Linked DNA regions of Caenorhabditis elegans. The protein of the gene in region 2 interacts with the protein of the main gene of each other region in a pairwise test. Each region holds a gene or a part of one and is shown on either strand. Other genes may lie near its edges.

What was found. The genes of interacting proteins can lie anywhere in the genome.
Region 1: the proteins of ZK131.11 (region 2) and nhr-41 interact in a two-hybrid assay, tested with the Caenorhabditis elegans proteins (one large-scale study listed by BioGRID).

The regions. Positions count from the first base shown.
Region 1 is NC_003282.8:1,383,993-1,389,337, reverse strand, and holds the start of nhr-41 (Nuclear Hormone Receptor family), read right to left. Parts: upstream 3,124-5,345; 5' UTR 3,050-3,123; coding exon 3,047-3,049; intron 1,496-3,046; coding exon 1,378-1,495; intron 1,325-1,377; coding exon 1,188-1,324; intron 1,123-1,187; exon of another isoform or gene 1,051-1,122; intron 731-1,050; coding exon 635-730; intron 1-634.
Region 2 is NC_003280.10:13,790,289-13,795,391, reverse strand, and holds the start of ZK131.11 (TORC_N domain-containing protein), read right to left. Parts: upstream 3,164-5,103; 5' UTR 3,113-3,163; coding exon 3,054-3,112; intron 1,558-3,053; coding exon 1,471-1,557; intron 1-1,470.

The DNA of each region.
Region 1 (5,345 bases), on a different chromosome or scaffold from region 2:
AGTTTTAATTAAAAATTAGTTTTTCAACAAAGCACACCCAGAGAAAAAGAGATGTAAAAGTCATTAATCTAGAAAGTTGCCAAACAGCGTAGAGGTCACCTGAGGACCCCGGAAAGTGGGCGGAGCTACAATTCGACCGGTGATCAAAACCTGTTTTTAGAGAGAGCGCGCGCGCTCGCGACACTGTCCTTGTAGTCCAAACTTTTGGAAAAAAGGGTATTGGAATATTAGGTATACGCAGAAAATTTAGTAAATGATTTGAAAAACTCCAAGTCCTAACCTAAAATTGTTTTAATTCTAGTTAAAATTTTGTGTTTTTTTAGGTTGAGGCATTGATTTTCATTGTTTTTCATGTCGAAATTCGGATTCTGCGTGCAATTTCCGTTAATTTGACCCCCATAATGACCGGATTCTAATTATTTTAAAATTTTTGAAAATGGATCGAAGTGGCGCAACTGGGTAGAGGTTGGGCTGTAGCGCACAAGACCGGGGTTCGAGCCCAAGTAAGGGAAAATGTTTTTCTCAAGGTTTGTTTGGATAGTTAAAGTGTGTTAAAATAAAAAGGAATCCTAGAAAATCGGAAAAATTGGAAAATTTTTTTGAAAAAAAGTTCTTTGAGCAACATTTTTTTTACCTGAACATTTCGAAGGGCATTTAGCTGTTGAATGATATTTGGCATCATTGGTGGACCGACAACTGACGGGTGTCCTAACAATGGGTTTCTGGTAGCCTGGAAATTCAAAAATTTAAGGGAGAATTTAACAAAAAAAAAACAAATTTTGGGGCAAAAGTTAAAAAATATTTTTGAAAACGAGATCAAACCTTTCATGATATTTTTTTGAGGGAAAAAAAAGGTTATCGAATGACCTTCCACACACATAGACACATAGTAATTTTTCATTAGGGTCGAGAATTTGAGAGATATTTCGTTTTTTTTTCGAAAAAAATTGGACATTCTTTTTGCCCCCGCCATATAACTTTTTCCGCTACAGTCAGCAGGCCCCTCCCGCACACTCTTCTCTAGGCACTCGAGACCTCCTCGTTTCGTCCTCCCATGTGGTCTAGTGGTTAGGATTCGTGGTTTTCACCCACGCGGCCCGGGTTCGATTCCCGGCATGGGAAGTTTATTTTTTTATTTTTGCACTGCCAGTTTTGCCGAATTCTCATTTTTGCAGAAAATAGTTTACCTGCATCATTGCCATCAACTGTGGGTTGCTGAATACGTTTAGTTGAGCCGCCATTATTGCCGGATTGAACAAATTCGGCTGAATACCAGGGATTGGTGTGTTCGCATGCTGTGGGGGTTGGAAAGCTGTTGGGGTGCCTGAACATATTTATATTTATTTTTTATTCGAAAAAAATTAATTAGAATATTACCTGGCGTTGAGGGAATTAGGTGAGATTCTTGTTTGATAGCGGTCGGAGCAATTAGGCTCCGTGAGAAATCGATGGGTGGAGGTGGGGGTTGCTCGACGGAGCAAGGGTCACCCAGCGTCTGGAATAAGAAAATTATAATTTTTCATAAACTTTCCAGTTAATTAGCCTGTTTAAGACAATTTTTCCAAACTTTAAATTCAGAGAATTTTTTTAAAAGATATTCATTGTCAAATTCGAATTCTCCATGAAATTTCCGTTAAGTTGACACCCATATTGACCAATTTACAAAAATTTTGAAATTTTTAGAAAAGTCAAAAAATTGGGTCCCAGTGGCTCAGCTGGTCAGAGGTTAGGCTGAGTCAGAAGGTCGAGGGTTCGAGCCCAGTTGTGGTTTTTATTTTTTACTATAACTGTTTTGATGGTTGAAACAGTTTTAGAGTGACAGGAATTTCATTTTAGAATTTTTTTTTCGTAAATCTTTTTTTAACTCCCATAATTTAGACTTTTACATGTTATTTTGTACAAGAAATCAAAATAAAAAGAAAATCCCTCCTACCGGACTAGAACCCCGGTCTTCTGCGTCATAGTCTAGACCAACAGATACCCGACTGAGCCACCGAGACCAAATTTAACTTATCGGAAATAGGGCAATATGGGGGTAAATTAACGGATTTTAGAGATTTTAGACGGAAGATTCGAATGTTTTAATAAAATAATTGAAAAATTGAAAAATTAGCCTTTAAAAATTTTTTAAACAATTGTCCCGAAAAAAAGTTTTTTTCAGAAATTGTTTTGTATTGTGCGGTAAATTGGTGTAGAATTTAACGTTGAATACATTTTAATTGAAATATTGGTACTTGTGTATTACATGCCCTCATTTTTATAGTAATTTTTTAAGTTGTGCAAAATAAAAACGTGAACCACACTTTTGGATTTTTAGGCTTAGGAAATAAAATTTCCTAACTAGGGAACCGTCAGAAGGTGCCCATCGGACTTGCATATGAAACCTGTGCCATTCGATAGCTGCGAATCTCCAGAACCAAGCTCACGGCGAGCTCTCAAATATCCTAAAATAGCACTGTAACGAAGCACTTTACGATCAAAACAAGCAATTTTCCTTATTCACTTTGGTAGCTCATATCTCTGCGGATAAATTTTTCAAAGAAAAGTCATCAACTGATAAATTGTTGAACTTTTTGTAAAGAACAAGTTTGTAGTTAAAAGTTTTTACCAAAAGTTTTTTGTTTTAGATAAAAGCATTAAAATCGCAATAGCAGCAGTTGCCGCACTTCATGCGCTTCTATCTGAAACAACAATTTTTTTGACAAAAACTTTCAACTACAAACTTGTTCTTTACAAAAATATCAACAACATATTAGTTGATGACTTTTCGGTAAAAAATTTATCCGCTGAGATATGAGCTACCAAAGTAAATTTGGAAAATTGGCCCTTCACTACTTCGTTAAAGTGCTATTTTCAGGATCTTTGAGAGCTCGCCGTGAGCTTGGTTTTGGAGATTCGCAGCTAAAAATTCACGAGTAACCGTTTAATTTAATTTAAAAATGAGGACATGTAATACACAAGTACCGAAATATTTTCGATTTGAGTGCTAGTTCTTCAGTAAAACCTAAAAAATGTACAAAAATGAACGTTTCCTCAGAAAACTCACCATATTAATCCAAGTTTGATGGGATGCTGAAGCTTGACTCTCAGCAAATATTAGCCCAGTTGATGACGTGGAATTTTCTAGAATAAGGGGACGATGTGGGTGATCAGAGCACTTTGGCAAAGTGTACATGAGTATACAGAAACAAGAGAGAATAATATAGTAGTACAGTGAGAGGTGTTTCAGACCGTTATTCCTGGAGACTCTCCCCCTTATCACCGCGCCGCCGGTCAGTCAGCCGCTGCTGACCAACTGGAAATATGTTTCAAGCGGTGTGGCGCGCGGCGTGGGAAATAGTGCGCGAAACCGGGAGAGTGCACACAGAGGTGAGTGACCGTGGGGGGCATTGTATGCTAATAGCAACGCGGAACGAATTTTGGGGGCGGGGGGAACTGTACTATGTGTTGCGGTTTTGGTATAACAAAGTTGCAAAAAAAAAGGTCACAACTTTTGAGGAAAACGAACATTTAAGTCTTTAGCATTTGGGTTTAAACGTTTTAAACCTAAAAATTCGAATTTTACAAAAAATTTCCGTCAATATGACCCCCATATTGACCTATTTCGGTAGTTTTTAAATTGTCAAAAATTTCGGAAAATGGGGCGAAGTGGCTCAATCGGGTAGAGGCTGGGTTATGGTGCAGAAGGTCAGGGGTTCGAGTCCCAGCTTGGTCATAAGTTTTTGTTGCAATTTTTTGAGTGACAAAAATACAAAATTTCGAGCTAGAAACTAGTTTTCAACACTTTCCATGTGTCGAGTAATTTTCGTTGAAAAAATTAAATTTTAGTAAATTAAACGTCAAATTCGAATTCTCCATTAAATTTCAACGTGACTCCCATATTGGCCTAATTAAGATAATTTTGAAATTTTTTAGAAATTTCGTGAAAATGTGTGCTGAACTGGGTACATGTTAGGCTATGGCGCAGAAGGTCAAGGGCTCGACCCCAACGTGCACCAGAACATTTTTGCACAGCTTAATTTAACATAGTTTCCCCTGTTTTAAAGTAATTTTGACATTACACACATTTTTTTCATTATTTTGGAAAAAATTTACAAAAATGTAACTCTCACAAATTTTGTCAAAAAAGTTACACTGATGGAGTAAAATTTTTTTCATCAAAATATGGAAAGTATAGAAAATCCTTGAAAAATCCCCAAAAATCATATCCCCCGCTACCGGGGGATAATCGGTGTTTAGCGGAGCCGTGAACTCAATCTGTTAAATAATTTTTTTCTTCTGTGCCGGCCGGGGCGGATTTTCTTTTTTCATTTTCATTAAGATAATTTATAGGTGAGCGGCTTTGTTGCTTAAGTATTAGCTGTGAGGATTTGTTGTTAATTTTTTTTTGGAAATTTTTTTCGACAATATTTACCCATTTCATATGATCAAAAATGTACCGGAAAAAAAATTTGGGACCGGCTGGGGTCGAACCCTGGTGTCGAGATTCACAGCCAAACCTGTTAGCCACTGAGCCATCGCGGCGAAAATTGAAAATTTCCGGTTTTTTGGGCCAAAAATTTCACATACAGGGTTCAACCTAGTTTCCAACTCGAGATTCTTTTCTTGTTAGATGGAAAAAGTCTCACAAAAATATTCACCTACAGCGGGGATTGAACCCCTGTCTTCCGCGCGTCAGCCCAACCTCTACCCAGCGAAGCCACCGCGACCTATTTTTCAAACTTATAGGAAATGGCTCAATATGGGGGCCAATTTGACTAGAATTTTGATGAAGAATTCGAGTTTTTATATTAAGAAGTTCTTAGTAGAGTTTCAAAGATTTTTTTCGGTAAAAAACTATTGAAAACTTCCTGAAAAATCATTTTCAGAAATTTTCAGAAAATATTTTAGAACTATAAATTATGTATAAAAACAAGTAGCTTTCAACAAATCTTCTCGAAGCTCTGACTTTGTTGAAATAGCTCCTCTTCGGATCCGCTTATCGATGTTCTGATCCGCTATCAAGTGGCGGAAAAATAGGAGTTGATACCTGGTTTTAGTGTCATTATGAATATCTAATCGGTTTTTGGTCGAAAAAAATTTGGGGTAATTTTTTTTTTGAAATTTTTTGAAATTTTTTTTTTTCATAAATCCCTAAAATTTTTATGTTTATTAATCTTTTAAAATCAACGTAAAAATTGAGTCCAGCTCATTGAGAGCTTCCATTCAAATATAAACATGACCTACTTTGCTCCAATTTGAAATTTTCCGAGTCTCACCGCGAGCCTACAGTACCCCGCGCTGTGAGACCCAACTTTTGTGAAAATGGAGGAAAGTGGGGCATGATTATACTTAAATGAAAGCTC
Region 2 (5,103 bases):
GGTAGCGGTGCGGTAGCGGGGCGGTAGCGGGGCGAAAGCGGGGCGGTAGCGGTGCGGTAGCGGGGCGGTAGCGGGCCGTTTTTTTTCCGATTTTTCAATTTTCGGGGGGCAAACAGCAGAAATTGCACTTTTTCGAGCAAAAGTTTTCGTTTTTCGGTTTTTCTATAAAAAAAACCGAAGCCCGGCAGGACTGGACGTTCACAGGATATTGCTCTTTTTCCCCCAACCCAAGTAGATCAAAACCCCTAATGTCCCTTTAACCTATTCCATACAAAATTAGGTCCAATCTCATAAAATTCCTTATTCATCACGTCAATTCCACCACTCAATCACCGTCTTCTTTATTTGAGAGCGGTTCCACCTCATTTCAGACGAAGAGGGCAGAGAAGACAATATATATATATATATATATATATAAAGAAATGAACACATAACATAGTACGACTACTGGAAAAATGAAACACAATTGTAGATTCAGGTTGCAGCAGCAGCAGCAGAAGAATAGGCATGGAAATGGCCAATTAGTACGGGATGGACCCCGATAGTGTGAGGGTGGACGGGGGAGACGCAGAGAAAACCAGTCATCGGGGGATACTGGGATTACCTTTTGCCGTGAAAAAAAGAGGATTGTACAGGCAACCGGGGGCAATCCCATTGTTATCCACCTAATCCTATTTGCCACCATTAAAATGCGCTTCGTGTTCCGAAGTGGGGGGGGGGGGGGGGGAATTCGAAACTTTTGAAACTTTTTAGAGTGGCCGATGATGGAGAAAATTCGGCCACCAATTTCAGGATTTTTATATGTTTTAGAACATTCAAAAAAATTGCTGAAACTGCCAAAAAATTTAATTTTATAAAAATTGATTTTTTTTCACACTTATTTATTTTTAAATTACCGAAATTTCAAAAAATTCCATTTTTTCAAACTTCATTACTTTCTAAATTTTTAGGATTTTTTAAACGAATTTTTAAAACAATACTCTGGAATTATTTATTTTTTTGGAATTTTTTTTTAATTTTTTTTTTTTATTTTCAAAAATTTTTCCGGTTTTTCAATTTTCACAGAATTTTTTTTTTAATTTTTAAATACATTAAACTTTTTCACGTGGTGTCCGAGTGTCTCATTTCGGTTTGATCTACATATTTCTACAAAAAAAGCGGGAGAAGAGACGCGAAGAGTTCTCAACTGATTTTGCATGGTTAAGAATGTGCTGACGTCACATTTTTTGGGCGAAAAATTCCCGCATTTTTGTAGATCAAGCCGTAATGGGGGGCAGCCTGGCACCACCACTTGTTTTTGAATTTCCAACACAATTTTAAAATATTTTGAAATAAATCAAAATCGATTCGGAATTTTTTTTTTTTGAATTAAAAAATTTGTTTCAAATAATCGATATCCTATTTTTCAATTCTCAGTACATTTTTAGCATACAAACGATAAAATTTAAGAAAAAAAAGTCAAAAACCAACCATTTCAGTCTTGAAAGTGGCTCCTCGGACCTTCGCTCCGTCATATTCCTGGCTCCGCCCACTTTCCACGTGCCAAATGCAACCGATCTGAAAGTTTAAAATTTTTTGGAACTATTTTTCAACTTTTAAGATGTTTTCTTTGGCTTCAAAATAGTACATTTTACATGTTTTTCTGCAAATTTCCCCATGCCGCAACCCTAAAAAACTAACCCTTTTGCCTTCATAAAACATATTGGATTGCGAAATACTCCAAACATGCCAACGTGGATTCGGAAAACTGTTTTTGTCGGAAAGTATCAGAGTTGGAAATGAGGAAAATACGTTAGAATATTATTATTTTGATTTTTCCAACAAAAAATATTTTTAAAAAAATCAGTTTTAAGAAAACTTGAAACGTTGGATTTCACGTCGAGAAATGAAAGAATTATAGGCATTTTATATAATAACAAAAAAGAAAATTAGTTTCGAGAACTGTCATGCCATTTGGGTGGCTAAATGGAAATTGGGAGAAATCGGGAGAGAACCTGAATTGGCAGTTTGCCTCCAACTGTATGTCTATAAGAAGGTATATGTCTACAAATTGTCTACCTACCTGCCTACAAGGTGACCTACGCCTACCTACAAGGCGGCCTGCGCCTACACATATTCCTGATTATATTCAGTGTTAGTTGAACAGATATTTGAAAAATAATATTTAATTGGAAAGTTGAGAAATGTGCAAAAACTAGGCGGTAGGTAGGAAGGCATAGGTAGGCCTGCGACATACGCCTACCTACAAGGCGGCTTGTACCTACACCTTGCCTACACTCTTGCCTACTTACAAATCATTCCTGATTATATTTAGTGTTAGTTGAACAGGTATTTAAACAAAACATTTAATTGGAAAGTTTACGAATGTTCAGAAACTAGGTGGTAGGCAGGCAGGCATGAACAGGCAGTATATACCTCATAGGCAGGCCTACACTCGTCCCTACTTCCTGGTCCCTTTTTTCTCACTGTTTCAGTGTTGAACATTCAAAAAATTACTTCAACTGAAAGGCAGGCATGAGGTAGGCACGTAGGCATGTAACAAAAAATTTTAAAGTTAGAATATTATTGTCATTAAACAAGTAATAGTTCTATATAATATCTTTTTCAATTTAAAAATTGTGCGATTTTTCGAAATATTGTTGATTTTGCCCGATTTGAGCACCATTACTACTTATACTACTAATATCTCAGCTCATTTTGAAAATATCAATAAACTTTTAATTACAAAAATATAGACAATTGTTAAATAAATCTTTTCTTAGTTGACAATTTTTTGATAAAACCAAAACCAACCGAGATATGAACCGGCAAAGTTAGGCTAATCGAACATATTTTCTACCTGAAAAAAAACTACCCAATTTCAAACCAGCAAATTTCCAAAATGGTTAGGAATATTAAAAAGCTGCCAACTGACGTATTTTTCAGAAATTTTTGGGCAACATTTTTAGTTGACAATTTTTTGTGAAAATTTGGAACAACCGAGATATCAGCCGGTAAAATTGAGCTAATTTTTATAAATTTTTAAAAATATTTAAATTTTGCCCAATTCTCACCTGTACTGCCGACGAGCATTGAGCGTTGCCGTCGAGCCCATCATATAGGCGTCAGGCATTTTGTGTGAGTCCCAGGCGTGTGTTTGTAGACGTCAATAGTTCAAATAATTCTGAAAATCATCATTGCAGAAAATTTTAAAAAAAACGAAGCGTATTGGGAGAAAAGGTGAATAGGGTAAAACGAGAGAGTGAATGAATAGAATGGAACGTAAATATATGAGAATAAGAAGAATGGGGCGAGAGAAAGTGTATGTATGAAGAAGCTGAAAGAGGTCACAATATTATGTAGTAGTAGTAGTACTATACCAGAATTTTTGGGTGGTGGCCGAAAAAACCAAAACTCGGCCACCATTTCAAATAGAGTCGGGGTAGGAAAATTTCAAAAATCCTATTATTCTAATAAGCTTGCTAATTTTTTCTGGCTTTTTTTTAAATAGAAATATAGAAAAATATCGGCTGGAGTTTAAATTTTCTGAGAAAAATTTTTGGCGGGAATTTTAATTTTCTGATAAAACCAATTTTGGCGGAAAATTCAAACGACTGGTTTATCTATATTTTTATATAAATTTTAAACAATAAAAATCGACTTAACAATGAGAAAAAGGCGAAGAAAGTGAGGGAAAAATAAATTTTTCAAAAAAAAAGTAAACTTGCGGGAAGAATCATAACTCGGGTCATTTTTTAGATATACAATTTTTTCAATCACAAATACAAAATACATATGAGTCCAAAATTGCATGCATTTTAGTACTCCTCATCTCAAAATCTAACTATAATAGTGGCGGTGGTCATCTCTTTCAAATATCACCCACCCCACTCGAAAGCCCTGGTAATGTGAGAAGCGCGCGAAATTCGAATCTCGCCAATCTGTGATGAGCTGAGACTATATAGTGATGGTGTGGCCGAGTTTTTCAAAAAGGGAGCAGTTTTGTATGTCAAATTTAGTAAAAAATTCCCGAAAACTAGGAACACGGCGGCGGAAGCAGTAAATGATATCGGAAAACGAACAAATAGTTCGTCTTCATCATCAATATGTGTGTGTGTGTGGTGGTGGCAAAATGACATATGTCAACATGGAAAGTGCTTGTTCTTCTCATAAAACTATCGAGACAAATGGCACATGGCGGTCGTGGTGCGGGTCGGCGATAAAAGATGTACCCTCAGGAAATTTGAGCGGAATTTATGCGACAAAGCTTGATAGAACAAGACGCATATGAAAATGAAAAAGTTAATAAAGCAGCCGACACCTCACGGGCGGTAGCGGGAGGTAGCGGGCGGTAGCGGGCGGTAGCGGGCGGTAGCGGGCGGTAGCGGGCGGTAGCGGGCGGTAGCGGGCGGTAGCGGGCGGTAGCGGGCGGTAGCGGGCGGTAGCGGGCGGTAGCGGGCGGTAGCGGGCGGTAGCGGGCGGTAGCGGGCGGTAGCGGGCGGTAGCGGGCGGTAGCGGGCGGTAGCGGTGCTGTAGCAGGGCGGTAGCGGTGCTGTAGCAGGCCGGTAGCGGGCATCAGCAGGCGGTGGCGGGCGGTAGCGGAGTTTTTGTAAAAGCCAGTAAAGTGTCCGCTGCAAATCGTGTTTTCCACGCTGCGGCCGACATCTCACGGGTACAGGGATATCCATAATTTGAACCACCTATTTCTCAGTAACCATGGGAGCTATCAAAAAATTGCCAACTAGCAAAATATTGCCTAAAAAATTGGAAAATTGGTTTCAATTTGCCAGTTAACAAGTTTTTCATAATTTTCAAAACTAAAGAGATATAAATGTTTCAATTGTTTCACCTAAAATCTCAAATTTTTGCCGTAAAACCGTCATAACTCTACTGGTTTTGACGATATAAAAAATTTATCAACTAACAATTTGTAGCCCAAACATTTTCCTACAATTTACTATTTAACAAATTTCTGCTCAAGTGCGTGTCCGCTGAGATACATCAGTTTTGCTTGGGGAGGCAAGGGGTGAACCTCGTAAAACCGGCGGGCGGGGAATAAAAGGGAAGAAACAGATGATAAGGTCATTGAGCATCTGCATGTGCAAGGTTGGATCAAATTTCTCG